Cricetulus griseus: one gene and its partner. The protein of the gene in region 2 interacts with the protein of the main gene of each other region in a pairwise test. Links are inferred from orthologs where the notes say so. Each region holds a gene or a part of one and is shown on either strand. Other genes may lie near its edges.

What was found.
Region 1: the proteins of Tollip (region 2) and Odam interact in a two-hybrid assay, tested with the Homo sapiens proteins (2 studies listed by BioGRID and IntAct). The two-hybrid records come from large-scale screens. The link is inferred for Cricetulus griseus from reciprocal best matches to the Homo sapiens genes TOLLIP and ODAM.

The regions. Positions count from the first base shown.
Region 1 is NW_023276807.1:153,070,240-153,074,522, reverse strand, and holds the start of Odam (odontogenic ameloblast-associated protein), read right to left. Parts: upstream 2,812-4,283; coding exon 2,761-2,811; intron 2,677-2,760; coding exon 2,635-2,676; intron 1,852-2,634; coding exon 1,804-1,851; intron 1,358-1,803; coding exon 1,115-1,357; intron 716-1,114; coding exon 671-715; intron 1-670. UniProt on the Homo sapiens protein: Tooth-associated epithelia protein that probably plays a role in odontogenesis, the complex process that results in the initiation and generation of the tooth. May be incorporated in the enamel matrix at the end of mineralization process.
Region 2 is NC_048596.1:59,283,333-59,287,626, forward strand, and holds the start of Tollip (toll-interacting protein), read left to right. Parts: upstream 1-1,450; 5' UTR 1,451-1,577; coding exon 1,578-1,610; intron 1,611-4,294. UniProt on the Homo sapiens protein: Component of the signaling pathway of IL-1 and Toll-like receptors. Inhibits cell activation by microbial products. Recruits IRAK1 to the IL-1 receptor complex. Inhibits IRAK1 phosphorylation and kinase activity.

The DNA of each region.
Region 1 (4,283 bases), on a different chromosome or scaffold from region 2:
TATATATAGCCCTGTTTCTTTGATTATGAGATATTAAACAGTTAGTTTTCCTAGTATCAACAAGCTGTTTTATGTTAACATCACAAATTTATTAGCTAATATCAATTTAATTTTTCCTATTAAAGGGAAATTTTTAAGTTAATTATAATGTGGAGTCAAATCATAAATACTGCATACAAGAGGCTGGGGAAGTGTTCAGGGGAGTTTTATAACAGATGAATAATGTATATCAGTGTAATTTATAATAAAAATATTATTACTACAATGTGTGCTATTTACATCTACATATTAGATATAAATATAAGATTCTCTGAAACCAAATTTGAGAGGGTACAAAGTTCACTCATGGTATTACTCTTTAGTTGTTCCCCAGTGTTGGCACTTAAATACAGAGAAGACATGTACTGGCTTTACTGAACTCCTTCCCTTCTGATAGTGATGTCATAGGTACTCAAGGGTGCTAGATATCCTTTTCAGCTGCCTGTTCTTAAAGAATCAAGTAAGTCCAGCATTAGCAGATGTCTAGAAGCCAGTGATGGAACCTCTAGCCAGTGATGGGTGGCCCACAGGTGTGAAAGCCCTGATGCTGGAGACCCAGGGAACAAGATGAAGTGCTATGGAGAGTGCAATGAGCCACTTATGTGTCAGTCATGGAATTCTTTTCACTCACCTGTGTTTGATCTTGGGGCACTTTGAAGGGAACCATGTAGGACATCTGAAGGAAACAAACAAGCAAAACCAGAAAACCATATAAGCAAATTATATCTGACCTGTTAAAATTCTTAGTCTAATTTTCCTAGAGCTAGTTTCCCATGTACCATTTGCATTAGCAATATTCCACTAAGGTTTATCTTCTGCATGAGTTATAATTTATGCAAATTATGCATCCACATGTTGTTTTAGCTCCTGAATGATGACTATATTCTAGGGTAATTGATTTTAATGTTATTTTTATATTTAAAAAATCAGAAAATATAAGAAGATATTTTCAGTGTTGTTTGAAACAGAACAGGAGAAATAAGACTTAGTAAGACCCCTGCCATATTTCAAAGCTAATTAATGATAGCGTTCATGTTCTGTCTTATAGCAGCAAGATGGAAGAAGACCAACTTACAAGGTTAGCAACCTGTTGGCTTTGTGGTGGTGTCTGTGGCTGTGAGAGATCTGGTTGGCCAGCCTGACCTCCTTGGGCAAATCCAACCTGTCCTGAGAAAGGTATCTGATTTGGGAATAGCCCAGCCAAGCTCTCTAATGTTGAGAGTGGAAACTGTGGGAGTCCTGGGACCTGAGCCTGCTGCTGCTGCTGTTGCTGTTGCAGAAACCCAGGGAAGGGAGGAATCCAGGGGTTAAAAGCACCCTGTGAAAAACAAAGATAGAAAGGAAATATTATTCTTTCATATTTAAAAAAAGAACTTGAAATCAAACCTGAGCAATAAAGACAACAATGTAGGCAATTTATATATTTCAAGTCTTATGAAAAGATAACATTTCAACTGCTTATGATCCTCACAAATTGAGAGGTTTTCAACTGTCATGAGAAATATGGAATGCGAAGAGTTGGTAAAAAAGCACACATTTCTTCAGAAGTTTGACTGTATTTAATTTTTCTTTTCTTTTTCCTCTTGGGTAGCTAGATATGACTTTGTTTAAAATAGTTAACTATCTCAAAAGTCTTCAGAATTAGTGTCAGCACATAGCAAATTCTTAGCAATATAAATGGATGCACTTTGTTCTCATCCCATGCCATAAGAAATGCTCATTACAGATACATTCCCTCTGAACTGATTATTTACATAGTAGTACCTGAAATTGCAGTGGCAAAAGTCGACCATTATTTAGACCCAGGAGTAACTGGAAAAGGAGAGACAATGGGAAAATGATGACTATGTACTCTGAAATATTTTCTAGAGAGAGCACAAATCAGAGCTAGTTAATCCACTTCCAGTCCAAAGTGACACATTTTTCCAGTAAGACAGCATTGAATTACAGTGATTAGTGGTTAGATTTGAAAACAAGGTTCAAGTTTTTCTGTTGTTGTTTGCATTGTAATTTCATGATTGCTGTCAATAAAGAATAGTCATGTTTGTTGTAAGAAGATGGCATACAAACAATGGCTTGAACATTTTAATTCCTAAGTATTTGCATTCCTCAATTTCTTTCCTACTCATGGAAAATAGTGCTTTTATTAAAATAATTTTTATTTAAATTAAAACCAGTCTTATTTGACATACCAATCCCAGTTCCCTCTCCCTCCCGACCTCCCATTCCTCCACCATCTCTCCATCCCACTCCCATCCACTCGTCATGGAAGGTGAGGCCTCCCATGGAGGATGATCAAAGTCAATGAGACTGCACAGTTTTAGCTTAACCCAGTGGTTTGGTATTTCATGTTTTTGGAATTTCATATATTTAGTACCTACATTAGAACTACTGGAACAAAGAATACAGATGATACAACGTTTAGAGAACTTATGTTTACACAAAGAAGACAAAACAACTCTATAGAAGCCATCTGGAAGACAAAGCAACCAAGCAGCCTGGAAATACCTAGTGGTCTGGATGCAGGCTTTTATGTCTTCACAACGTGTTTTCACCTACAGAACACAGTAGAATGCTTTAATTACTTAAACTAACCTCATGACTGTTGCTAGCAGACAATAGGCGCTGTGAGACAAGCTAAAAAGAAAATGAAGAAAAATGATGAAGGAGGGGAAATGCACAGGTGTACGTGATGAAATCAAAATATCATGAACCACTTACCGGAGCTGCTGATGTAGCTCCTATGAGTCCAAGAAGAATTAAAATTTTCATTTTTCAGATGATATACCTACACGATGAGTTGTAATACTTAGCTTTAGAAGATACTCTTTGCTTAAAATTTCATGACAAAAATAAAGGCATGGCAAGATTCATCAGATGGCATTGTCAAATTGAGTAAGTTTCTCTCTATTTACTTAACATTTTATGGCTCAAAGTAACAAACTTTATCTTTGTGACTATCTCTCAATATAGATATTTATGGGAAAATTGTTTTCTTGGTCTTAAAGCTCATTTAGTGGCAGGTGTTGTGGCCATTATCACTGTTAGCCTCTTACTGAAGGGAACGCATCCTCCAATCCATGGAGCCCCCTGCCTGGGATTAACTGACTGTTTCCTTGTTATTAATGCCTGCAGTAAAAATGTATCACAACAAAGATCTAACAGTCCCAGGCCAAAGAGAAAATTTCCATTAGAAGTCAAATAATATTCATGAGGATTAACTGTAATGGTTGCAGCATTGTTTTTTTAATCCAGGAAATGGAGAAGGTAAAAAGCAGTAGTGATACATACTGTAACGTCTTATCCCTTGCTTCTACTTGTAAAATTTCCCAGTATTTCACAACATGGACACACACACCAGGGTGACCACGGTCTTGTATTGGAGTTTGGTTCTTAAAATATCAAAGCAAAGATTTGATATCTTACCTTGCTCCTTTGTAAGATCTGTGTCCCCTTCTTTCTTAGTTCTGTTCTTCAAATCGTCTCCTAACATTTAAAACCCATCTTTAGAAAAAGAGGGACCAATCATGATTGAAAGGGACCAGTGATTCAGTGGGTTTTGGACAATGGCTTAGCTAATAACCCCTTTCCTCCTCATCATCGTGGTGTATGTACTCCCACACCCCAAGTAATGCTTTTCAATTACCCCTGAGACATTTTGTTGTGATCACTCTTGGTTTCTCCTTGGTCATGACTAACTCCCCTGGGCTAATTTTGTTCCACTCCTTTTATCCTTTTAAAAAATGGGTACCTCAAACAAGTAACCTGAAACCCTTTACTAAACTCAAGACTACATAAGTGATGCTTCTTTTTTTTTTTTTAAACTCTGAGAAGAAAATTCAAGTAGAACACAGATCTTCATGAAAGTTCAAAGTTTTGTCAGTAACAGATATTATCCAGGGCTCTGTAATTAGGCTAAGGTAATGTGAGCTAGATTCACTTAAATTTGATTTTTTAATTGAAAAATATATTCTTCTCTCATACAATACATTGAGACCATAGTTTCTCCTCCCTCTACTCTTTCCAGCTCCCCTACCCATATCTTTTCCTCCTTAGCCCATATCCCCTATGTTCCTCTTCAGAAAAGAGAAGTCCTCCAAGAGACAACAACCAAACACAATAAACCAAGATACAATAAGACAAGGCAAAAGCTCTCATACTGAGGCAGGACAAGGCAAGCTAATTGGAGGAAAAGAGTCCCAAGAGAAGGTAAAGAGTCAGAGACATACCCACTCCCATTGCAG
Region 2 (4,294 bases):
TAGTCAAATTCTATCACAGCCCACATACACCAGAACTTCTGCTATCTACAGCAAATCTAGTAGAAACAAGGTTATGTACCATGTGACCACCACCAGAGAGCAAATGCTGTGATTCTGCTTTGACAGACTATGCCACTTGAACAGACTTTGGGGACTTACTGGGGAATTTTATGTGATAAAGTTTTTCCTCAGTAACAATTCTCCCTGGTTTTGTTGCTTGTTTTGTTTGTTTGTTTACCTCTTTAATATTGAGGGATTTGGGAATCCATTAAAGGGCATATGTGTGAACATCTCAAACCCAATCATTTTTAGCAGGTCTTAGTCACAAGAAGTTCCTAGTCTGCTGTCCAGATACAATCTTACACAACTTGCAGGATGCCCGGTGCATTTTTAGACACAATTCAGAGGTTTTGTCTATAACCAAGGGGAAAGGATTGTATAGGGATGTGAACCCCAGGAAGGGATCATGGGTCTCTTATAAATTGTCTGCCATATTGGGTGTCGAGTCTTATGTCCTGGTCTGCCTTAGCTTCATCAGCTGCAGACCAGTGAGAACTGGATAGACAGCTGCATCCAGGGACAGAGCCCAGATGCAGTCCCATGTGCTATCAAGGCAGAGACTGGTAATGGAGGTAGAAGATGAGGTCTTAGAGATGAAGGGAACACAATAGAACACAGTGTGAGTGAAGAAATGTACTAGGAGTACATTTGGTGCTGGGCAGTACCAAGTCTACTGCAGCACAAGCGAAAGAGATCTGCAGATCTGGGGCCACCACAGGATAAACTTAAAGGAACTACATTGAGTCTATCTGGCCAAAGGTCCTTCTGAAGAGAGCGCTCTGAAGAGGCAAGAGTGGGTGGCCTGGGTTTCCTAGGGACATCTCTTCCATTCATTTGGCAAATTCAAGGCTGGTGGAAGTGTTCCAGCCCACTCTTGCCTCTCCTTCAGCTTGGCTTCTTTTTTTAACATTTAAATATAAATGTTCTTCCTCCCACAGCATTTTGAAGTAATTCAAGGGCTTGAGGGTAACTGGTTTTACTGCCATCTGCTTTCTCCTCAAGCTGCCAAACATCAGTTTTCTCCTTTCTTCAAGCGGATCAGGCACCTTGCAGGTGGTGGTCTCCTAGCTATCTCCAGCCAGGTGACTGGACGTTGTGACGACTTGACGGAGTTGAGATAAACATCCATGTTTCGGGTGCCTGGTCCTGGGTCAACAGACTGGCTCACGCCGAGAAACACTCAGGTTTAGGCATGCGCAGACAGCCTGGCAGCCATTTTAAGGGCTTACCGTACTACAGGAGTGACCACCGCGCAGGCGTACACGGGAGACTTAACCCGCCCTCACCCCAGCCCTTTGCACGCATGCGCGGATTAGCCGGAAGGGGCGGGATTAGCCATTGCGAAGCGGCTGCGCCTTGGGAATGCCGGGGTGGGGCGGGGCGGGGTGACTGTCAGCTGACTGAGGCGCAGATTGCCTCGCGGGACAACGGTCGGCGACGCAGGTTGAGGTGGGGGCGGAAGAACTCTCCCGGCGGGTCTCTGTGCGGTCGGTGAGGCACAGGGTCGCCGTAACATCATGGCGACCACCGTCAGCACGCAGCGCGGGCCGGTGAGTCCACTGGGCGAGGGCCGGACTGGGGCAACGCAGCCTGAGATCGGGCTCCTCTTGTCAGCCCCTCGTGGGGCCCCTCGCGAGTTGCTCGGCCGTCCCGGAGCTGTGCGGGTCCCACCTTCGGGTACCCAAACGGAGTAGCGACTCTGGTCCTGAGGGTCTCGCGGGTGGAAGAAGGCAGAGCTTGATGGTTCTTTGGATGCCCACGGGCCCTGAAACCCCTGAATCCCTAGAGGGGCCCTGAATCCCTTAGTCCTCCACACAGAGGAACGTGACCCCATTGGTTCCCCATACTGAGAGGGACCCCGACTCCCCTTAGTTCCCCGGGTGGAAAAAGGGTCCCGAACCCCTTACTTCCCCAGATGTATACCAACCCCTTGGTCTCTCAGATGGACATGGGCCCTGACGCTTGGTTCCCCAAATGGAGAGTGGTCCTGACCCTGTTAATTTCCCAAACTGATAGTCTTGGCTCCCATGATCTCTCAGAGGAGTGGGGCCTGACACTCCTCTGATGTTTCAGAGATGGTGAAAGATCCCACTTTGTAATCAGCTCTTAGTTGTGTCAGTTTCTTCCTCTCCCTGCTCCTATAGAGAACAGGGTTGCTACCTCTTGAGCCCGGTTAGTGGCTACCTTTCCAAGTCTCAGTTGTTCATCTATAAATGAGGAGAAGGGAGCAGAAAACGTGGAAAACCAACAGTGATGGCTCCTAAGGGTTGTCTTGGGGTCCACAACACTACCTGTCTCTCCTACCTCTAGTGTGGATGTCCTCCCAGTAGTTCTCTGAGACTGATATGAGTTGGATGTTGTTAGCTAACAGTGGTTATGTGTGTAGAACACAGTTCTGATGGCTCCATTGTCTTTTCCCTGAAGTTATTGAAAGTGTCTGCAAAGCCTTTGGTTTCCCAGGTCCCTCACCCTGACAGCTTGGTGTTGACAGGTGTGTGTGTGTGTGTGTGTGTGTGTGTGTGTGTGTGTGTGTGTGTGTAACAGATAAATCATTGGGGTAGATGACTGATTTTCTGACTTTGAAGAAAGCCCCAGGCAGGGTGCTTTTTTGGAGGGCTTTAAAGCCAGACTTCCTGACCAGAGTTGGGGTTACCTTCATGTTCAGCAACCCTTCTTCATCCTCACTGTGTCTCACCAAACTACAGAAGATTGCTAGTGGCTGACAGAAGAGGAAGGGAGCCAGTACTTTGCTCTTTTCCTATCTCCTGCCAAGTGGACACAGGGCCAGGCAGAGTGGACCGTTCCTTACTGTGTGTCTGAGAGTGCCTTTACTTCTGTGGCTGGACTGCATTTGAATTCATCTGATGGTGAGCTTAATGTCCGTCATTAATTGAGTAAGAAGGTGTCCTCCCGTGTTGCTGAGGGAAACTCTGGTGCTGTGTGTATAGAGCTGGGGTAACCCACGCTGTGATGAGTAATTGGGAGTGTCGGGTGACATTCATACTAGCGCAATCTGTGGAGTCAAGTCCTGACGCTTGATCTTTCTACTTGCCCAGTGTTCTAGGGACCACAGAGTCTTATAAATAAACATAGACAGCTGAATGGTTTTTTAGGAGCACTCTTGATGACTTGTAATATTGTGTCTGGACTCTAAGAAATTGTCATCAGTGACAGATATCTTAGACTTTGCTTGGGATGTATTATTGGCCACAGTATTTAGAGCAATTGGACACTGAGTCAAAAGTGTGGAGCACAGGGACACAGCTATGCATGGTGACCCATATAAAGCCAGAAAATAACAGTCACCATCAGGTCTGTGCTCTTAATCATTGAAAACAGAAAGGTATGGACTTGGTGTGGGAGGAGTGAATGGGTTATGGCCAGGGTCTCTTAAAGACTAGAAGATCTTGAACTTGATCTGGTAAGTGCTGTTTCTTAGAGTGCATGCCTTTTACAGTTTTCAGCTTTTCACTGGCTGCTTCACCTAGAATGATCTACCTATATGCCTCTGGATTCATTAATATTTGCAAAGGTTTTTTTAGCCAGTTGTCAGGGTCTAGTAGAACTGTCAAGAGTGTGGTAGTTCTTCCCTACTATTCATGTCATACTCAGGGTTGTGGAGCTGTAAAGATAAACAGAAGTACACATTTGGTCAGTACTGGGTACTATTGGCAGCCTTCTTTTTGTAACCGCAGCAGGGGGTTAGGCTATGGTTCAGAGTCCCCTTCCCAGGAGCCTGGACTAGGCTTGGGCAGTTGTCTCTATAGCTGACCTTCACCTCTGATGAGTGGGGAAGGACTGACAGTGTCTTGGGAGGCTATAGAAGGCTGAGGACACTCTCATCTGGGCTAGGAGGGTTCTCTATTCTTGGTTGAGGGTTTGGGATGGGGCAAGTATGAGGAGGAGAGCCAGAACCCACATAATTGTGAAGGAATAAGTTTTTCCCTGGGACATTTGGTATTTTACGTTTTTTTTTTGTGTTTTGTTTTTTTTGTTTTGTTTTGTTTTGTTTTGTTTAATAGCCACTATAGGGCACTACAATCTTTCATAGCCATCTCACTTTTGAAAATACTGGTATTTTGAAATTACCCCTTTTGCTACCCAGTCTGCACACCTGCTCCTTTCCTACAGTAGTGGTTTTTTTTTTTTTTTTTTTTTTGCGGGGGGTGGGGTGGGGGGGTGGGGGGGTCCGAGACAGGGTTTCTCTGTAGCTTTAGAGCATGTCCTGGAACTC